4 linked regions of the Arabidopsis thaliana genome follow. The protein of the gene in region 1 interacts with the protein of each later gene in a pairwise test. Each region holds a gene or a part of one and is shown on either strand. Other genes may lie near its edges. The genes, in order: EXO70H1, AT5G51110, AT3G56270 and ADAP.

What was found.
Region 2: the proteins of EXO70H1 (region 1) and AT5G51110 interact in a two-hybrid assay, tested with the Arabidopsis thaliana proteins (one large-scale study listed by BioGRID).
Region 3: the proteins of EXO70H1 (region 1) and AT3G56270 interact in a two-hybrid assay, tested with the Arabidopsis thaliana proteins (one large-scale study listed by BioGRID).
Region 4: the proteins of EXO70H1 (region 1) and ADAP interact in a two-hybrid assay, tested with the Arabidopsis thaliana proteins (one large-scale study listed by BioGRID).

Annotation. Positions count from the first base shown.
Region 1 is NC_003074.8:20,439,985-20,444,471, reverse strand, and holds EXO70H1 (exocyst subunit exo70 family protein H1), read left to right. Parts: upstream 1-1,821; 5' UTR 1,822-1,906; coding exon 1,907-3,817; 3' UTR 3,818-3,981; downstream 3,982-4,487. Other genes in the region: AT3G55140 (Pectin lyase-like superfamily protein), read right to left, coding at 4,247-4,483.
Region 2 is NC_003076.8:20,776,977-20,781,224, forward strand, and holds AT5G51110 (Transcriptional coactivator/pterin dehydratase), read right to left. Parts: upstream 2,513-4,248; 5' UTR 2,405-2,512; coding exon 2,030-2,404; intron 1,706-2,029; coding exon 1,510-1,705; intron 1,432-1,509; coding exon 1,340-1,431; 3' UTR 1,028-1,339; coding exon of another isoform or gene 656-1,027; 3' UTR 525-655; downstream 1-524. Other genes in the region: AT5G51105 (ECA1 gametogenesis family protein (DUF1278)), read left to right, coding at 656-1,027; PABN1 (polyadenylate-binding protein 1), read left to right, coding at 2,784-2,939, 3,039-3,141, 3,221-3,343, 3,420-3,478, 3,723-3,914, 3,999-4,117, 4,220-4,248. UniProt on the Arabidopsis thaliana protein: Involved in tetrahydrobiopterin biosynthesis. Interacts with and acts downstream of the E3 ubiquitin-protein ligase SDIR1 in abscisic acid (ABA) and salt stress signaling.
Region 3 is NC_003074.8:20,867,997-20,872,626, reverse strand, and holds AT3G56270 (WEB family protein (DUF827)), read right to left. Parts: upstream 2,628-4,630; 5' UTR 2,408-2,627; coding exon 2,207-2,407; intron 1,913-2,206; coding exon 773-1,912; 3' UTR 520-772; downstream 1-519. Other genes in the region: AT3G56260 (uncharacterized protein), read left to right, coding at 3,835-4,428; AT3G56250 (uncharacterized protein), read right to left, coding at 4,471-4,545.
Region 4 is NC_003070.9:5,506,451-5,512,268, reverse strand, and holds ADAP (ARIA-interacting double AP2 domain protein), read right to left. Parts: upstream 3,959-5,818; 5' UTR 3,707-3,958; coding exon 3,516-3,706; intron 3,436-3,515; coding exon 3,353-3,435; exon of another isoform or gene 3,187-3,352; coding exon of another isoform or gene 3,123-3,186; coding exon 3,114-3,122; intron 2,978-3,113; exon of another isoform or gene 2,676-2,977; coding exon 2,587-2,675; exon of another isoform or gene 2,362-2,586; coding exon 2,288-2,361; intron 2,175-2,287; coding exon 2,124-2,174; intron 2,101-2,123; exon of another isoform or gene 2,052-2,100; coding exon of another isoform or gene 2,023-2,051; coding exon 1,946-2,022; exon of another isoform or gene 1,124-1,945; coding exon 660-1,123; 3' UTR 534-659; downstream 1-533. Other genes in the region: TLP8 (tubby like protein 8), read left to right, coding at 1-45, 125-192, 295-370; AT1G16040 (phosphatidylinositol-glycan biosynthesis class F-like protein), read right to left, coding at 5,813-5,818.

The sequences.
Region 1 (4,487 bases):
TATTCTAAAACATGTAAGCATTCCGAGCAAAAGAAATGTTTATATTATTCATCCAAAATGTTGGTTCGTGTCACACGATAATACACATTGTAGAAGGAAGACTAGAAGTAGAACCAGCTACATTAGAGTTTAATGTATCTATATAATAATAAGTCAAAAATACCCACTTGGATTATTATGTTCTTATCATTTTTGGGGTTATCAAAGATACTTTATAAACTTTTGACTTTTGCATTGGCATTGTCTTTACTCCGATGATCTACGCCTGAGAGTTGACCGCTTCACAGTCCAGTCTTCAAATTGTTTTCGCACTTACGATATCATTCATTTCTGATTCGTTAGGGCTCCCCCAAGCTTACAATCTTCCTTAGTAAAGTTTGGGAAAAAAACAAATAACATAAACATAATCAATCTCAATCTGAAACGAACTAAACACTACTATAGTTCATTTTCTCTCATATGTATATAACAAGATAATTGTCAAAACAAAAACTGTGAGTTGTAATCAAATGATGGCATTGATCAATAGTCATTGCTTTGTTGATTGAAGAAGATTCCACTTTTAAGGAAAAAAGACAGCTACAATAACTAAATTCTTTAAGGTTCGTTAGCAATGTAACCGAATACGTGAAGTAACACTAGCCATTGTTTAAAGAAAGAGAGTCGTCGAAACAAAACGTTGACTAGCTTATATGCTCTTATAATGATTTAGACAACTCACGTATATACGACGTTGAAGCCAAATTAGTTGAAATGTATATGTAAATGTAGTTGACTTTGGTAAGCGAATCTCCATTTTGGTCTTTTAAGAATCTGTAACGCCTGGAAATTGCCAATACCTCCGGTTCGTATATCTTTATATCATGATTTATGAGTGCGTATATTTGACTTTTTCTTGCAAAACCATACATACATAACATGCGAATGTCTTGTGTCTGTGTATATGATATCTAATGTATGGGAAAACTTGGAATATAGGTTTTATTTTCTTCTAGACAAGATCATGAAGTATAGTACGTATCTTTTATGATCATCTTTTTGGTCAGACGAAAGAATATTAGTTTTATATAATACATAATTTGTGATTTGTTTTTCTATCCTCTATAAGCACAAACATATACTATCAGATTATGACACATCAACAGTGCTAATATAACATTAGGCTGTAAAATCAACTTAAATATTTTGTAACACTTTTCTCTTAACTATTACAATAAACGTATAGCTGTTAGTTTGCAAGGACAGCGTTAACAACTTATTGTATCATAGTATTGATTCAAAACGTTAATTACTGTGATAACTATAACTTATTAACTGAAATGCAGACGTTGACAGACACACAAGAATTGAAATGTAGAAACGCGTTTATATAAGAGAACGCTAAATATATAAATTTCGGACTTTTCTAGTGAAACTCTATTAGTCTTCTTTTTTTTCTTTGGTCAAAAAACTTCCAATACGAAATTCGAACAAGAAGTATAATTAGTGATCAATAATGCGAATGATGCAATAAAAAGTCAAATGAAATGAAATTGATGAATTTAACTGTTATATAAAATTATAAGTTGACAGAATGAAATAGTCATATAATTCTAGTTCTAGACGTGGATAGCAAAAACTTTGTCGCCCATATGTATATAAAATTTGTACTCTAGTTATCTTTTAAGTATATAAGGCTTATATTATACATCGAAGTCAATGGTTCTTTGTGGTCTGGGTCTATAATCACAGGTAAGCACATCGTCATCGATTTCATTTTCAAAGTCAAGACCAATCTCGCTCTCTATATAATTGTTAAAAACCATCTTTCTAATTAAAATAGAAAGAGTAAAAGCCAAGTAACACCATTTTAAAAGGCTTCGCTTTCAATTCAGAAAGAAGAGAATAGAGAGCTTCTTCTTCTTCAATGGCGAAAATGGCGAAATTTTCTTTCTTCTCTTCGTCATCTCCTAAATATCATCCTTCTTCGCCTTCTTCATTCACTTCTTTCCCGGCTTCTCCTCTAAACCAGAACTTTACTCAGGCTATGATGGAGGAAACCGTGGAGACAGCGGACTCCGTCATCAGAAAATGGGACCCGAACACGCCTTCCTTCACCAAGATTGTCTCTCTGTTCAACCATAGCAGGAAGGAGGCTAAAGAGTTCATCAGATGTGTCCGTGATTTGCGCAGAGCGATGCACTTTCTTGTCTCTCAAGACTCTCAATCTCCAAAGCTTGCTCTAGCTCAGACCCTGATGCAGATCGCCATGGCAAGGCTCGAAAAAGAGTTCTTCCAGATATTATCTTCAAACAGAGACAAGCTTGATCCTGAATCAGTTTCCGGTCAATCCTCAATCTCCAGCAATTCTGAATTTGAAGATGTTATGGGATCTGACGACGACGATGAAAGTGACAATGAGATGAGGAAAGCTGGCGAATCGATCACTCAGGTTGAGAAAGCTTCAGCTATGGTGATGTCTGACCTTAAGGCGATAGCAGAGAGTATGATAAGTTGCGGATATGGTAAGGAGTGCGTAAAGATTTATAAGCGGGTCAGAAAATCTATTGTAGATGAAGGGCTGAGCTTGCTCGGGATTGAAATCTACAAAGGCTCCAGATTTCACAGAACGGACTGGGTCACGCTCGAGCATATGATCAAGAACTGGATAAAAGCTGCAAAGATTGGCATTGCCACGCTCTTCCGTGGAGAGAAACTTCTTTGTGATCATGTCTTTTCTGCTTCCAATTCAACAAGGGAGTCATGCTTCTACGAGATTGCAAACGAAGCAGCCACTAACCTTTTCAAGTTCCCTGAATTTGTTGCCAAGGAGAAGAAATCGCACGAGAGGATCTTCCCGCTAATGGATCTGCAGGCTGCAATCTCTGATCTCTGGCAAGACATAGAGATGATATTCCACTTTGATGCAGTAGCTGGTGTGAAATCTCAGGCGCTCACATCGCTGCAAAAACTAAAGGTCTCAATCCACAGTGCTCTCACGGATTTTGAATCAATCATTCAGAAAGATACGACGAAAGCTCTAACACCTGGAGGAGGGATTCATAAACTGACACGATCAACAATGAACTTCATCTCTTCCCTTTCTAAGTACAGCGGAGTCTTGTCGGAAATCCTAGCAGACCATCCACTCCCGAGAAACACTCGCCTGCTGGAATCCTATGTCAGAGCTCCAATTTCGGAAGATGAACAACACAATCACGCACTCTCTGTCCATTTTGCTTGGCTAATCCTGGTTTTGCTATGCAAACTAGACACCAAAGCAGAGCATTACAAGGATGTTTCTTTGTCTTACCTTTTCCTTGCAAACAACCTTCAGATCATCATTGAAACGGTTGGTTCAACTCCCCTAAGGAATCTCCTTGGAGATGATTGGCTCAATAAGCACGAAGATAAACTCTGCGCTTATGCTGGGAATTATGAGATAGCAGCATGGTCCAATGTTTTCATGTCTTTACCAGAAGAACCCACAGACCTATCACCAGAGGAAGCTAAAATATATTTCAGAAGATTTCACACGGCATTTGAGGAAGCATATATGAAACAATCATCACGAGTTGTACCAAATGCGAAACTTAGGGACGAACTAAAGGTTTCAATAGCAAAGAAACTTGTACCAGAATACAGAGAGTTTTACAGGAAGTACTTACCAATGCTCGGCCAGGAGAGAAACATTGAGATCTTGGTGAGATTCAAGCCAGATAATTTGGAGAATTACATCTCTGATCTTTTCCACGGTACACCAATTCATGCATCCTCTTCTTTTTCTTCATCTTCTTCCTCTTCATCCTGGAAATCACTTGGGTGTGTTTCAGGCTGAGAGACTTGATCCATAGTTTTGGCTAAATATTCCATTTTTTACATGATGTGAAGTGAAAAAAATGTAGATACGTGTGTTTGCATTGTGTGTGCAACAGAAAATGAGAACAAAAAAAAAAAAATGAGATTTTCTTTACATAATTTATGACGAGTTCTTCATTATCTAAGAAAAAACAAACTTGCGATACGCTTTAAGAATAAAACGAGTAGTCTCTAATAACCGAAGCTGATATAAATCTGATAAAGAATTCGATTCAGTGATATACATTCAAGAAGCCAATTACAAATCACAAAGAAGAAAAAGGCATAAAAAATCACACACAGCATACTGTAAACATAATGTGCTGAAGAACAAAAGCATTATTCACTCCTTCAATAACTAGAAAAAGAAGGAAATATGATATGCAAGAAAACATTTGAATCGCAACTATTACTTAGGAACTCCATGATCAGAAGGACGGGACAAAGATTGCCAACCGGTACAAATTTGCATGATTTGCTTGAGAGTTTCTGATGGTGGCTCCACAGTCCATGTTGGGTAGTGTTCACTTGGATGGAATACACATTCTTCACTGGCTCCTGTCATCAAGGAAGGTTGAGCTCCATTCAAGAACAAGTCATTTTCAGATCGTACTAACCCAGTTCTCGCTTCTTCCTTGTCAGCAGCCTAC
Region 2 (4,248 bases), on another chromosome or scaffold:
CTTTCTATAAGCTAAATATTTAGAAATCCGAAAATATTATTTTTGGATGGTGTATTTAATATTAAAATATGTTTGGTTTAAAAAATAATAAGGATAAGGATAAGGATAGTGGAATTAATAGTGTTTGACAATGAGTATATTATATTCAATAAATGAAAAATAAAAATGATGAGAACAATTATGGGCTTGCCACATCTTTTACTATATAGAGGATTCCAAAAAGTTGGAAGAAAAACAATTCCTAAATTGAAAAGATTTTTTTCTTTTTCTTGCTATGAATGTAAATAAAATCTCAAAAAAAAAATTAGGAGATGATATATATCAAGATGAATAAAGACGAAAGAGACTTAAAATTTGTTACTGCTTCCCTTCTGTCATCTTTGTATTATTTCCTATCATATTGTTAGGAAAGATTTATTTCTTTACATATGAGAAATATGACAGCATCAAATTCAATGTGCATCAAACGTTTTGACTATTTTTGATTTTCTTCCAAAATTAAAACGACAAATTTGATTTTGAAAGCAACTTTTAAAAATACGTTTCGCCAAACTAATTACAGTATAAATTGGATCTCATAGCCAATAACTTTATCTCATCAAACAAAACTCAAGTCATCTATTTCTCTTGTTGCATAGTCCCCCAAATATTCATCATGTCGATCAAGAGTGTTGTTTCTCTCCTAGTAGTTGTATGCATCGCAGCCTCCGTTAATGCTCAGCTACCGCAGTTTCCCCCAATCATGTTCCCGTTTCCAAATCCGTTCAAACCAAGTCCCGGTATGGCAGGAAGTCCCGACTTGAGCAAATGTTGGTCAACAGTGATGGATTTGCCGGGATGCTTTGAAGAGATTCAACAAGCCGTAATGTCCGGCAAATTTGAAGGCGTTGGTCCTGCTTGTTGTAAAGCTTTCCTTGACGCTGAAGCTAACTGCTTACCAAATCTTCCATCCAACCCGTTTTTCCCTCCTATGATGAAACACCAATGCTCCAAAATGGCTAGTCCTCCAACCACCACCGCCTATTAGAATGCAAAAATGTAGTTGTGTTTTTTCGAATTTTTTGTTAGTCCCAGAATGTTCTAGAAGAAGAAATGATAATAATAATGTCTTAATCTAATAATAATGTCTCATTTCTTATATTGTGCTCCATATGATTGATGTTCTTTCTTCTTTTGATTGATGAATGAATCTCAAAGACATGTTGCGTGATATCTCTTATGCGGTTATGACAATGCTTTCTATATAACTCGACATGTAGACCGATCACACACAATTTAGAATACATCACATACATTACATACTATCAAACAAAAATGTTCCAAAATAATGAAAAGAAGATCACGCCCAAGCTCTTTTCCTAGGGGAAAGATCAGAAGTCTTGATATCATCTATTTTAGCCGCCATTATGAAATCATTCATGCTCAACCCTCCTGCATTATTCATCCAACAAACCGTCTTAAGAAACCATATATTAAAACTCAAACTCGAACATCAAATATTTGACATACCGATAGAAGAGGTAAATAGTTCAGCTCGAACTTGGGTAGGACTTTCCAAGTGAAGAGAAGGGTAATGACCAGAAGCTTCAGCAACCTTATGGATCCTGTTTATGAGTTCAACACCGCACCCAAAATCCCTCACTTTCCACATACACCTTATTTTCAGACCACCCGCTTCATTATCCACTATACTCCATCCCAAAACCTAAAACGTTTACATAATAATCATTGAGATTGATGTACCACATCATTAGAGTGGTAACCGTGAACCAAAACACCAACATGAGCCTTATCAACACTAATCATTTCATTTTTTTTTAATCTCGTAACCATTGTTCCTAATATGTCCCTCATGATACTAAAATTTTCATTGGCTTTTCTATATTTTTGGGTCACAATTCTATCTTTATAGATTAGAAATCTGTTAAACGCAGAATCAATAACATTTTCACAATATTTTGATCAACCAACAAACTTGTAAAATCAAAACTCGAACATTTTTATACTAAGAGAGAAATAGTATAAGTACCTTGTGGAGGAGAGTTCTGGCATCATCGCCGGACAAAGGAGGCTGTGAAGACGAAACAGGGGAACACTGAAGCTGGGAGAGAGACAAAACAGATGCGTTTGGTATCAAAATCTTGTGCTCAGTGCTTTGGCATCCCAACACTTTATCTCCGAATTGACTCGCTATCTCCTCCGGGTAAGGGTCACGAGCTCCGAAGTCACCAAGAAAATCCTGCGCCAGATTAGACCGGGTCACCGTTAACCGGCCGAGTTTACGGTTATTCCTACTTACAGGTGGTAATAAACCGAACACTTTAAGGATTGAGCGAGAAGGTTGACGGAGGAGGAGGGAGGACGCGGAGATGTTACACGGCGGTGATGATGACGTGGCGGCCATCGGGAGCTGTGATTTGCTCTGTACCGAAGATAAGAGTTTTGGTTTTTAGAGAGCGAAACGATTTTCAGACCACTGGACTGAGTTAAATGGGTGAGGTGCCACGTAATCACTAATGACTAATGGGAACCACAATAAACTTTCGTGGGACCGACTTTACACGTCACGTTTTAATCTGAGAAGCCCATTGGGTTTGATTGTACTTTTGTGTCCACTTTTGGTGAATCTACTTAAGATTTCATAATTCCGAAAGTATCCTTTTTGGGTATCTTTAATTACAAACAAACCTTCCCTTCTTTCCCGATTTCAAGCCCTAAAATTCCGAGACTTCTGTTTCTCGCTTTAACGACAGTCGCCGAGTGAGAGATATAGAGAGAGAAAGATGCCGGTGCACGATGAGCAAGAGCATGAGGTGTACGGTGGAGAGATCCCAGAAGAGGAAGAAGGTGAGATGGATACGGAAGAGTACGAAGAACACGGCGGAGAAGAAGGTGCCGCCGCCGGAGATGAGGAGCTTGAACCTGGCTCTAGCTCTAGGGTATTGTGATTCTTCGATCTATAATTTACTTTTATCCAATTGAGACTCTTCTTATTTTTTACTGTATTTAGTCTGTTATTTGCTTTGATTGTTTGATAGGACTTGGAGGATATGAAGAAACGAATTAAGGAGATTGAGGAAGAAGCTGGAGCTTTGCGTGAAATGCAAGCCAAGGCTGAGAAAGATATGGGTGCTAGTCAAGGTTTGTACTTATTAACTGATACGTAAAATCTTGAATCTTTGTGCGCAGCTTCACATTAACCTTTAAATTGATAGATTAGGTTTAAAGCTTGTCTTGTTGATTATGATATTGCTTTGGGTTTACATATTGGAATCTTTTAGTGAATCAATGAATCTGTCTAGAAATTTACTGGAGTTTGAGTATGAGAAGGAAATCATTAATAGTATTGTGGAGTCTTGTCAGTTAGCTAATTGGGTCAATACCTTTTATGTTGTTGCATATCAATGAAGACCCTTCAGGTGGTGTTAGTGCGGCTGAGAAGGAAGAAGTGGATTCGCGTTCAATATATGTTGGCAATGTGAGGCTTGTTCCACCATTAATTTTCACATGTTTCTCATATATGTTTGTATCTTTTTTAAAGAAAGTTTGTGTGTTTTATTGCTTTGGTATCAATGAAATTTGGAGGCTGCTTGTTGTTTATTTCTTTATCTCTAGTAATTGCTAAACTAACTTTCCTTCATATTTCAGAAAGCCTTCATATCTCCCATCTGTGAAGCTGATTCTTTAGATATCCTGTGTCTTTGTTTTTTTGTGTATATTAGGTGGACTATGCATGTACTCCAGAGGAAGTCCAGCAGCATTTTCAATCATGTGGGACAGTGAATAGGGTTACAATTCTGACAGATAAGTTTGGTCAACCTAAAGGTTTTGCGTATGTCGAATTTGTGGAAGTAGAAGCTGTTCAGAATTCGCTTATTTTGAACGAGTCAGAACTACATGGTCGTCAGATAAAGGTGCAAACTCGTTCAATACGATGTAGTTAATTATTTTCCATATTACGATTTGTCATTACTAAACTTTGTTTAATCTATTTTCAGGTATCTGCAAAGAGGACTAATGTACCTGGAATGAGGCAATTTCGAGGAAGAGGGCGTCCCTTTAGACCGATGAGGGGATTCATGCCAGGAGTTCCATTTTATCCTCCATATGCTTATGGGTGTGTTCTAGAACCTTACCTGCCTATCCTCTCTTTTAAAGTCCATTTGTTTGATTCATCATGGTTGTTCATAAAATTGACAATGGTTGATGGTTTGTGCAGGAGAGTTCCCAGGTTCAGACGGCCTATGC
Region 3 (4,630 bases), 430 kb from region 1:
TACCGTCAGATAGTTGACACTTGGAAAAGAGTAGCCCACGTGTTGGGAGTGGCACATTTTAGCCTGAGACAATGATTTTGCTAACCCACGCCACTCTTACTTTTCAACTTTATTTTTTAATTATTTATTTATTTAGTTCCTTTTCCTTCTTTTGGTTTCGTTTGGTCCCACGCTCTAAGCCAATACGAGGATTCCAGACGAAATCTTTGTTGTGAAGACTAAAACACGTGGCATTAAGTTATTGGAGATATCTAGATTGTCTTAAAAGCCTTGACCACGTCATCATTCTGTATCTGACCACTCCAAACTTATACAGTATAAAGTACAAACTGGTCAAATCGTAAAATGTGTTTTTATCTCCGTAGTTCAACCTGAATGTTTCAGTTTCTATTTTGAGAATCTAGAAACATTATAAAGACCAACGTTATTAAAAAATAAACAGTTGAGGACCTACGGTATTGATTATGGATCACCTAATTAGCTAATCTAACACTTAAAATGCATTAGTTAAGAAAGTGCCCACCACCTAAATCATATGATCAATGCCCTTCACTAACTCCCATAATTAATTATGATTACTAGAAGCTTTAGTTTTTACTATAATGTTTTTCTTTTTGTCACATTTGAGTCAAAACAACACATCTCACTCTAATCATCTGTGTTTTGCTTTTGATGGAAGCAACAACACCCATCAATGATCAAACCAAGAATAAAAAAAAACAGGAATCGAAATGTGCAAAACATGTTTTCAAAGGTTGGGTATTTTTTTAGCTTACTCTGTTTTTCTAATGGAAGCTTGATGTGTTTGTATGAACCTAAACTTTCTCCTCGGCGTGACCAACTGTTTCTCATCTTTTCGGTTAAGAGCATTACCCATTGAGACGTTACGTTTCAGCATTGGCTCAGGGAGATCGATCAGTGGCTCGTGCTGATTGATATGGCTCAAGAAAGAGCGCTGAGGAAAGCTTTCTCTTTTCATCGAGCGTTTTGCTCCAACAGCTTTCTGGTCTTTCCATGACTCTATGTTCCACTGCCGAAATGCCTCTTCTGCTTCAAGTTGCTTCACACTAGCGATTTCTACCCGGTTTAACGCAACTTCCAAGGCTTGTTTACTTTGTTTAACTTCTTCGTTAGCTTCCTCCAGCTTCCTCAAGATCTCTATTCTTGAGACATTGGTGGATAATTCTTTGTTCATCTGTGCTTTAAGTGTTAATGGAAAACATGGTGTCTTAGGGAAGCAGAGAGCGTCTTGGTTTCTTCTGCTGGATAATATGGTCATTTCAGCAAGCGCAAGTGCTTCCGCTGCTCTTGCTGCCTCTTCCATTTTTCTTGCAGCAACCAATCTCATATCTGCAGTTCTCGGGCAGGTTTTGCTCTGTTTATGGAAAGCTGTATCATAGGTTTCAACTACCATCTTAATCTGTTCACATTGTGGATTCACTGGTAAATTCTCGGTATTGAATCTCTCTACTTGATCAGGACCTGCTGGTTTAAACTTCAAACTGTTAAGTTCCTCCGCTAGAGACGCTACTCCAAGGACATCTTTCTCTTCCTTCGTTTTCATATTCAGAGATTCAGCATAAGAGTGGATCAACGCAAGATCATCCATGGTTTTACAAAGATTCATACCAGCTTGCTTCATTTCCATGGTCATCAGATCCGGAGACTTCAGGGGATTACGATGGCAGTGCTCATCGACCATCTCTTTGGAGTGTGAACGCAAATGTTGAGGGGTCTCCTTGCATCTCAGTGCTTGCTGCTGAAGCTGCCACTTCAAATCTTCAAAAATCCTTTTGGTTGATCCAAGAGCTTCAAGAAGATCCAGAGTCTCTAACTCTTTCATAATCAGATCCTTCTCAAGCTCCACTGTCTGTTCTTCCATTCTCTTTATGTCAAATTCTCCCACACAGTCCTGAAGAATGACAAACCAAAAAAACATAAAACAAATCATGCTATATAATACCAAAAAAAAATCTTACATAACATCTTGCTAGTTCCAGAATCAATTGCCGCAAATGCAAACATCAAATTAGCTATCACTTATTACAAAATATCTACTCAGTAACCAAATCGAATCAGCTATCAGTTATTCAGTTTGTTAGCATACTTAACAGTTAGAGAACATACATTTCAAACTTTCAGTGACATTAATGCTCAAACTTTAAATGAACAGACTTTGTAAATCGGAAACTAGAAGAGAACTCACGTAATTGTCTTCAAGATTGAAGGGAACCCAGAACCCACGACCACCATATAACTGTGGAGAAATGTCGATTTCAGCTCTCAAGCATCCTCTCCTTGTATTCTCCGGGTTGAAATTCTCGGACCCGGTTCCGGTTCTCACTTCCCGGATTACGGGTGTACCGGGAATCGTCTCCGCCGCAGGGCTCTGTTGCCTCTCCGCCATTTCCGTTAGCTCGAGAACGAATTGGTTTGTACAAGTGAAAGGGAAAGATAATGAAAGAGTGATCTATTTACAGTAATCATAGTTACTGATCAGAAGCAAACAAGATTGAGAGCTTCTCTATGATTGTGTTTTTCTCGGTAATGAAAGTCACTCACGAGAGAGACTCGAAGAACAAGAATGCAGGCTTTGATGATGCTACTACTAATGGCTGTGGCGACGTGGCTTCTATTGATTGGTTATCTGATTAATTAATAAATGAAAATTTTGGGCCGTTGATTAAGGAAGCGATATTGGGCCGTTGGTACGAAGTTCAAGTTCGTCTATATTGGGCTTTTTTGTGAAGGAAATTCTTACGTATGTGTTGTTTGTTTCTGTTCAAATACGAATATCCGAAAATTGTTATAATTTTCCCGTGCGATATTAGTGTATAGTAAATGTATGAGTGAAATAAATAGGTGGAGCTTTCCCTTATAGTTTTCTAACCAATTTGTGTGGCCATCACATTAAAGCAAAATCCGAGTAGGAGAAAACGGACCACGTACGAATACGATTGGAAACGACCATTAAATTATACGACCTCCCTCACTCAACCGTCCAAATTCATCACCGTCGTCTTTCGATCTCTCACGTTTCTATTTATTTCTCCGCATACGTTTCTTCCAACTAATTAGAACCGACAAATATATATATCTTTTCTAATTACTATTGTTGGGAGTTACCAGTTAGCACTTGACATTGGTACGTATTCAGATGGTTTGGTCTGACACTCTGAGTAGTTCCCTATTATATCCTATCTAAATTATCATTTCATTAAATGTAAACCATTATATCTTTTGGATGAACATGCCCCAAACTTTTGGTCAGTAGTTTCAAATTACGACAAACAAGGTTAGTAGTCTTGATATATATTAAAACGTGTGGATTTGTTGGTCAATAATTATTTCCTTAATTATAAGAACACCAAATAAAAAGGTTTATAGAGTGGAATCCCACAAAAGGTAACATATTAAATACTCTAAGCAATGCTTACTACAGTAACTGTTTACCAATAATGTGATCCTCACCTCACGACTCTCTTATTATTAATGAAAACGCATTAAGTAATGCATACAGTAAGATAGCCACCTTTCATTTATTATCTAACCAATTTTTTCCCCTATGTATGATCTTCCATATACTTGTAATATGCTCATCCATATGAATTTTTCCTAAAGAAAATAAAAAAGCAGAATAAATATCCACGATTATATACAACCGTGCAAAGAAGATTCTTTTGTTTCATCGGCAAACTTGTTTTACTCGCAATACATATTACTCTTTGTCACCTCTAAAGAAGCTTCGAAACTAGCACTTGTTGTTTCAATTTTCGTACATCAATTCTCATCAAAAGCCGACTCAAACATAAACCGAGAGTTTATAAAAAACAGATGTCAGAAAGACTAGAAGATGACTTTGCAATCGATGAAGAGAGATCCTCCTACTATGGCGGAGCCTCCATACCATTCATATGGGAGTCAAGGCCAGGAACACCCAAAAACCACCTCTGCTCCGATTCCTCTCTTCCTCTGCCTCTCACACCGCCGCCCTCATACTACTCCTCCGGGATTTTGTCGACACCAAGGACGCAAAGCAAGGTGAGATCAAAACTAAGTAAGTTTCTGTCCTTCTCCATGTTCAGTGATCTCAGGAGGAGCAATCACGGTAGCAAGAAGACGGCAAGCTCATCGTTTTCTTGGTCTTCTACGTCATCTTCATCTTCCTTTTCCTCCTCGCCACCACATTCTTTGAAAAAACGTATGAGTCACGACAAAAAATCGCCACTTCTGTACGCTAACTACGAAGAGGATGAGCTTAGGTCTTCACCAACCTCGACTCTGTGTTGCTCCAACGGGGGAAGACTTGGCTGTAGTTCTTCAATGGGGAGTGTGACAAGAGCTCTGTTCTCTGGGTCAATGGAGGGTATGAAGAGACATGAGACCACAGGTAAAGCTCTAATCATCAGCGACATGAATAAAGCTTGATTATGTGAATAAAGCTTGGTTTTTTCTATGAGCTGCTTCGCCTCATTGAACAGAGAGTGTTATAGTTATTGGTGTGTGAATGTAAGTATATAGTTTGTCTCTCAGTCGTGGCCTTACCTGTGTATTGTGGACAGGCTTTTTCGTCAATTCATGTCTAAGTAGAACCAAGAACGTTCTCCCACTGAAACGATGTTAAATATTA
Region 4 (5,818 bases), on another chromosome or scaffold:
CTGAGAATACAGAGCTCGGTGAAGAACTTTCAGCTAACACTCACGGTGCATTTCCACAACTTTAAAGCTTTGATCAAAAACCAATCTCAAGAATCCTAAACATTGTGTAATTTGGTATAAGCAGGAGACTCCAAGGCAGACAATTCTTCAAATGGGGAGAGTTGACAAAGCAAGATATGTAATCGACTTCAGGTACTACTTGCTCAAACCAGAATGAGCCAAACATAAACATACTTATAAGCTTAGGATTAAAGGCTTTATCATCTAAAAGTCTTTTGCTTTATCTGTTTGCAGGTATCCATTCTCAGGCTACCAAGCATTCTGCATTTGCTTGGCTTCTATTGATTCCAAGCTTTGTTGTACTGTTTGATCATTAATAAACGGACGAGTTCAATCTCTGAACATCCCTCCAATGATCATCATCTGTATACCTTACTTTTCTACATAAACAATTCCTCTATCTGAGTTTCACAAACTACCTCAGTACCTCTCAAATCAAATTCACCATCAGAGGAAACTGAAAGTGGACAACTGTTAAAAAGATTCAAACTTTATTATATAAGATTGTCACAAGAAAGAATAATCGATGTGTCAATGTTGATTTTCACAACCGAGATTCTGAACAACTAAAAAACAAAACTTATCAGAAGAACAACACTTTAGCAATCATTTAACTCGCTGTAGAAATCAGGCGTAAGGAAAGAATCTAAATCACCGAAGATAACATCATCTTCCTCCGCCGTTAACTTGCCGGAGTTTTGACACCCGAAATACGTCTGGATATCTTCCGGGAAGCTCCGACGAGGCGGAGCAATCTCAGGTGGCGTCGATGGTCCGATTACCTCCTCTGCCACTAAAGGTGACGACTTCAAGAGCTTTGTTTTCCGATCATCGTTGTCCTCTGACGAAGATTGACTCTGTGATAAGTCAGACTCGTGGTTAGGTTTTATAAATGGGCTAAGATCAGAATGCGGACTCTCGAGGAGATTATTCGCGGTATCGATAGGGTTCTCCGGCACCGGGAGTTTCAGATAACGGCTGATGTCGAAGTTAGTAACGGCGTTGAGTCCACGGTACTCGATAGCTGCGATATCGTACGCTATAGCTGCTTCTTCTTGCGTCGCTACAATAAAAGGGGTGCAAAATGTCACATTGAGAAGTTTAAGACAATTTATGAAACTTCTAATTCTTTGGTTTGTTAATTATTACGTTTTACTCCCCAAACTATTATGGATTTGCCTAATACGTAATATTGTGCTACACAAGTGAATAATGCCAACAACAACAAAATGAAAATGCTACAAGTCAATAATCACGTTAGATTTTTTTGAAAATGTACTTTGTCCCGTTGATATAGGACAATATGTAAAACATATAATAAATAGAATTAAATTGGCCAGTAAAATTGGATGAGCAACTTATAATTTAAACCATACAATAAATAAATATGTATAAACATAAGGAAAAACAAACTCTATAATAAATTAAAGGCTTGACTAAGTGGTTGGGTTTGGTGATCTATTTCCCAACCAACACAAGATCTGATTACGTGCATATATCAACCCCTTATTAAAGATTTCAAAGTAAAAATGTTTGGTTATAATGAAGAGAGAATCCCACATATAGCATTTGTAGAATTTGTTGTTATCACAACTACCATTTACCACCATCCAATTTAGTGAATGTTTATAATTTGTAATCAAAATATATATGTATCATACAATCTTTTTGGTTAGGAAACTAACCACTAATAAACTCAAATGCAGGAGTAGTTTGATAAAACATTAGTGAAAACGTACAAGTTTGATCAAATGTGTCAAATGATAATCGCATATTTACTTCTACTTGTCTTGAATTTCATCTAGTTATGTTTTGCGTTTGGAGATATCATGTTTTTTTCATTAATTACTGTATATAAAAAATAAAAAAGTTTTCAAAAAGTTACCGTAAGTTCCAAGGTATAAATATTTATTGCCAAACACTCTTCCGATTCGAGCTTCCCATCTCCCATTGTGGTGATGCCTGCAAGTCCATAATAACTTATCAAACATTTGAAATTAGTAATATTGAAATTGATCATTGTTCTTATAGTCTTTTATTATGGGGAATTAAAGTCGGTTTACTTTGCAACGCCTCTGTATTTTGATACACCTCGTGAAAACCCACTACTTTTTCTGTAAAAAATCATCCAAAAAATATTATTAATCAATACTTAGTTTGTTAACCAAAAGAAAGCAGAGAATTATAGTTAACCACCAATCATTCAAAAAAGTGATTTAGTTATTACCTTCTCAAAGATCCAATATACTCTTCCTTTGACTGGCTTTCCATTTCTTTGATGTCTTCTTCATAATTACACAACTATAAATCACACACAAAATAAACAATAGTTATTAGAACTATAAAAAAAAAAAAAGAAGAAGCAAGAATTAGATATAAACAGACTCTTCTTCTTTCTTTGTGTTTCTTTCTATAAGAACACATATGTAAGAAAGATTGTGAAGCAAACAAAGATCATGTGAATAGTAACTACTTTCTAATTATTTAATGTTTTTAAGTATTAACTAGGATTCCGAGAAAATTTACAGGGAAGTTCAAGATGGTGTCTCGTCCCCAATATTTCAATGCTGCTAAGTCGTAGGCACGTGCTGCTGCATCTTCCTCGTCATATGCCCCTGTGCAAACCACATTAATACATTAATTAAACATTGGTTTAAATCTTGATTTCTTTTCATTTACGTATTAAAATACTATATATTACGTAAATATTTTCTTAAAAAACTACATATGTCAATTGTAAACATAAAGGTGAAGTAGCAAAAATGTTTGGGGTTGATTTTCAATTTGTGACTAAGCACATTTGAAAAAGACAAATCGAAATGTACTTTTAAGAATTATCAGATCATTTGTTTGTTTTTGTCACGCCATAGATGTTAACATGTATGCTTTTGTTTAGAACCACCAAGTTGGCTTTATAAAGAACTGAGAAGTAACGTTTGTTTTTTTATAATTAGAGGTGATAATTAATTAGCATCACTCACTCTAAAAAGTGTCTACCAATTTGAGAGTGCAAAAAGAAAACGCCATATGAAAAATGACCAAAACAAACTCACCTAAATATACTGCACGTGATGAGTCAGCCATTATTCCGGTCAGCATCGTCAGCAAAACCAAAAAAAAAAACATATTAACCAACAAGAACAAAAAATACAAAATAAGATATAATTAATTTTCAAATCAAGAACAGTAACGACGAACTCATTCCCCGGAGAAATCGGAGTTGAAGATCAAAACGACAATATCTTTAATAACTCATAAAGATATATAGATATGTGTGTATGTATAGACTGACCTTGTCTTCCTTTCTTGGTCTGAGTTTCGTTCCAACTATTCTTATCCCACAAATGTGCTTCGTACCTTCCAGTCCATCGATGCCTATAATCGGAAAGTTATATGATTAAGTAAAGATAAACAAAAACGGTGACGTTTTGAGTGTGTTTTGTTCTCATGTTAACCTTGTGACGCCTCTATGGACGGAGCTACGTTGGGGTGGAGCGTCTCGTGGTTGCGATCGGCGTTTGCGTTTAGCTTTAAGGACTACTGATGTTGCTGACTGATCATCGCCGGTTTCATTCTCAACCGAAGTTTTTTTGCTCTGCCGTGTGATGTCTTCCATTACCGGAGAAACTTCGACGGCGATGAACATAAAAGAAGAGGAAGAAGAAGAAGAAGAAAACAACAAGGATGAGAAATTGATGGAATGGTTTTTGTTTTTGTTTTATAAGGAAACTATAAAGAGAAATGGTTGAGTATTTAAAATTATAATTTTCCGTTTTATTTTTTTTAGCCTTTTTAATTGCTATTGCTTTAAAAGATTTCCTTTGCTACGGCCCTCTTTGTACTTCTGTAATTAGATTTCTCATTTATTAAAATTCCTAATCGTAATCAAACCATTTAGACCTGATATTAAGCGATTTAGCCATTTTATTTGTTTTCAATATATAGCTTTTAATTCGTGTTTTTAATTCAGAACAAATGAGGAATTGACATGTGGAAGTTTAGATCCGCTGAGCCAAAAATCTTGGAGAAAGTAGGCAAGCAAAATCGGAGCTTCATAATTTCTCCACTTCTTGGTTTATCTACTTTTTGGTCGGGCCGTGAAAGATATATAATGTAATGCTAAAGAACGATCTTATTATTATTATTATATAGTTTACATTTTTTTGTTCCATTATATTTAATATTTCCTTCCAATTATTTTAGCAATCGTTTTGCTCTAAAAACACATTTCCAAGTAATATGATAATAACATTGCTAAACTCCTAGTTCTCTAATTCCAAATTCCTAATTAATTGATGGAATGGAACAGAGACTTACCACCGAAATATTTGAATTATGTTCTAAAAATATGCAAAATATAACATGTAATGCATATGCATCTTTAACCCAAACAAAACAAAAAAATTTGCAAGAAATAAGGCAATAGCCTTAATTAAACTTTAAACATTGGAACTCCCATATATTTTGAGTATATGTTTAGGTTTTTTTTTATAACAGAAAGTAGAACATCATTATAAAAGTTACATGATGAACGTCATGTTTTTACGAGTGCATTTCTTATAAGGTTAATACAGTGTTTTCTTATAGTTTTTTATTGAATAACACAAATTGTAATTTAATGTGTATACCTGCCCCTTAACTAGATGGGAGCAAATGTCAACAATTATGGTAAAAATGGTCTACAACAGTCCAATCTAAAACGGGCCACATGATATTTTGCGTGTTAAGATATGCAACTAATCAGCAACTTAAGAAATACACTTGACAAAATATCAAATTTGATATATCTATTTAGAACCTAATGAGATTGGGAATAACACCATACTTGTTGAAATATGAATTACGAATTATAAATAGATAAGACAACATAAATAAAAACATTATTTTAATTTGTCCACATAATTAGTTCGTCCCCTACTCTAACAACTAATCAAAAATATACATTGATCTGACATACAACCAATGAACTCCAAATATATAACATTTTATCATTTCGTTAATATAACTTATAGTCTAACGTTTAGTGGTATGAGTTTTCTTGTAATTATGTTTTAACTTGTCTACAAACTTGAAACCAATATTTTTTTTAGTTGTCTACAGGAAAAAAAGAAGAGAAAACGATGCATGAGATATAAATGAGAAATGCAAGCAAGGCAATGGTCACCGCCTAGTTTCGGGTATGCCATCTTTTTACGGCGTTGGTCCATGTTTCAGAGGTTGCACTTGGCAGCATTTAACCATATACGTGAAACGATGACACAACTGAGGTCCTGTCAGCCAATAATTACACGCCACGTCATCCGACAGAGTCTGGCCGTGGTAGATGACTCGTACAGTCAAATACTGTGCTTCGCAAGTTCGCATCAGTCCCAACTATTTGCATACGAAATCTAGATTTAACAGAAATAAAATAGGAGAATCTTTTCTTTTCCTTTTTTGATTCAAAAGGAGAAGTTTTCTATCCTTTTATTTTTGTTAGTTTTCTAAATTCTAACGGTTGTCGGCTGCGTATATAGAGATGCTTATTATCATTTACAATTTCCCTACGTTCGTCTGAATTTTGTCTTTCAAGTCTGTGATCGTTGTTGACTTTAGAATGTTGCAATTCTCTTGAACACTTGATTCGATGTGGAATATAACAAAATTTGTCCAAGCTAACAAAAACCTTTGCCCTATTGTTGTCTCTCCATCTAGCAATCAAGTCAAAACAAAATGACACTCATTCTGCCGATCCAGAGACGATCAATCTATTCTAGGC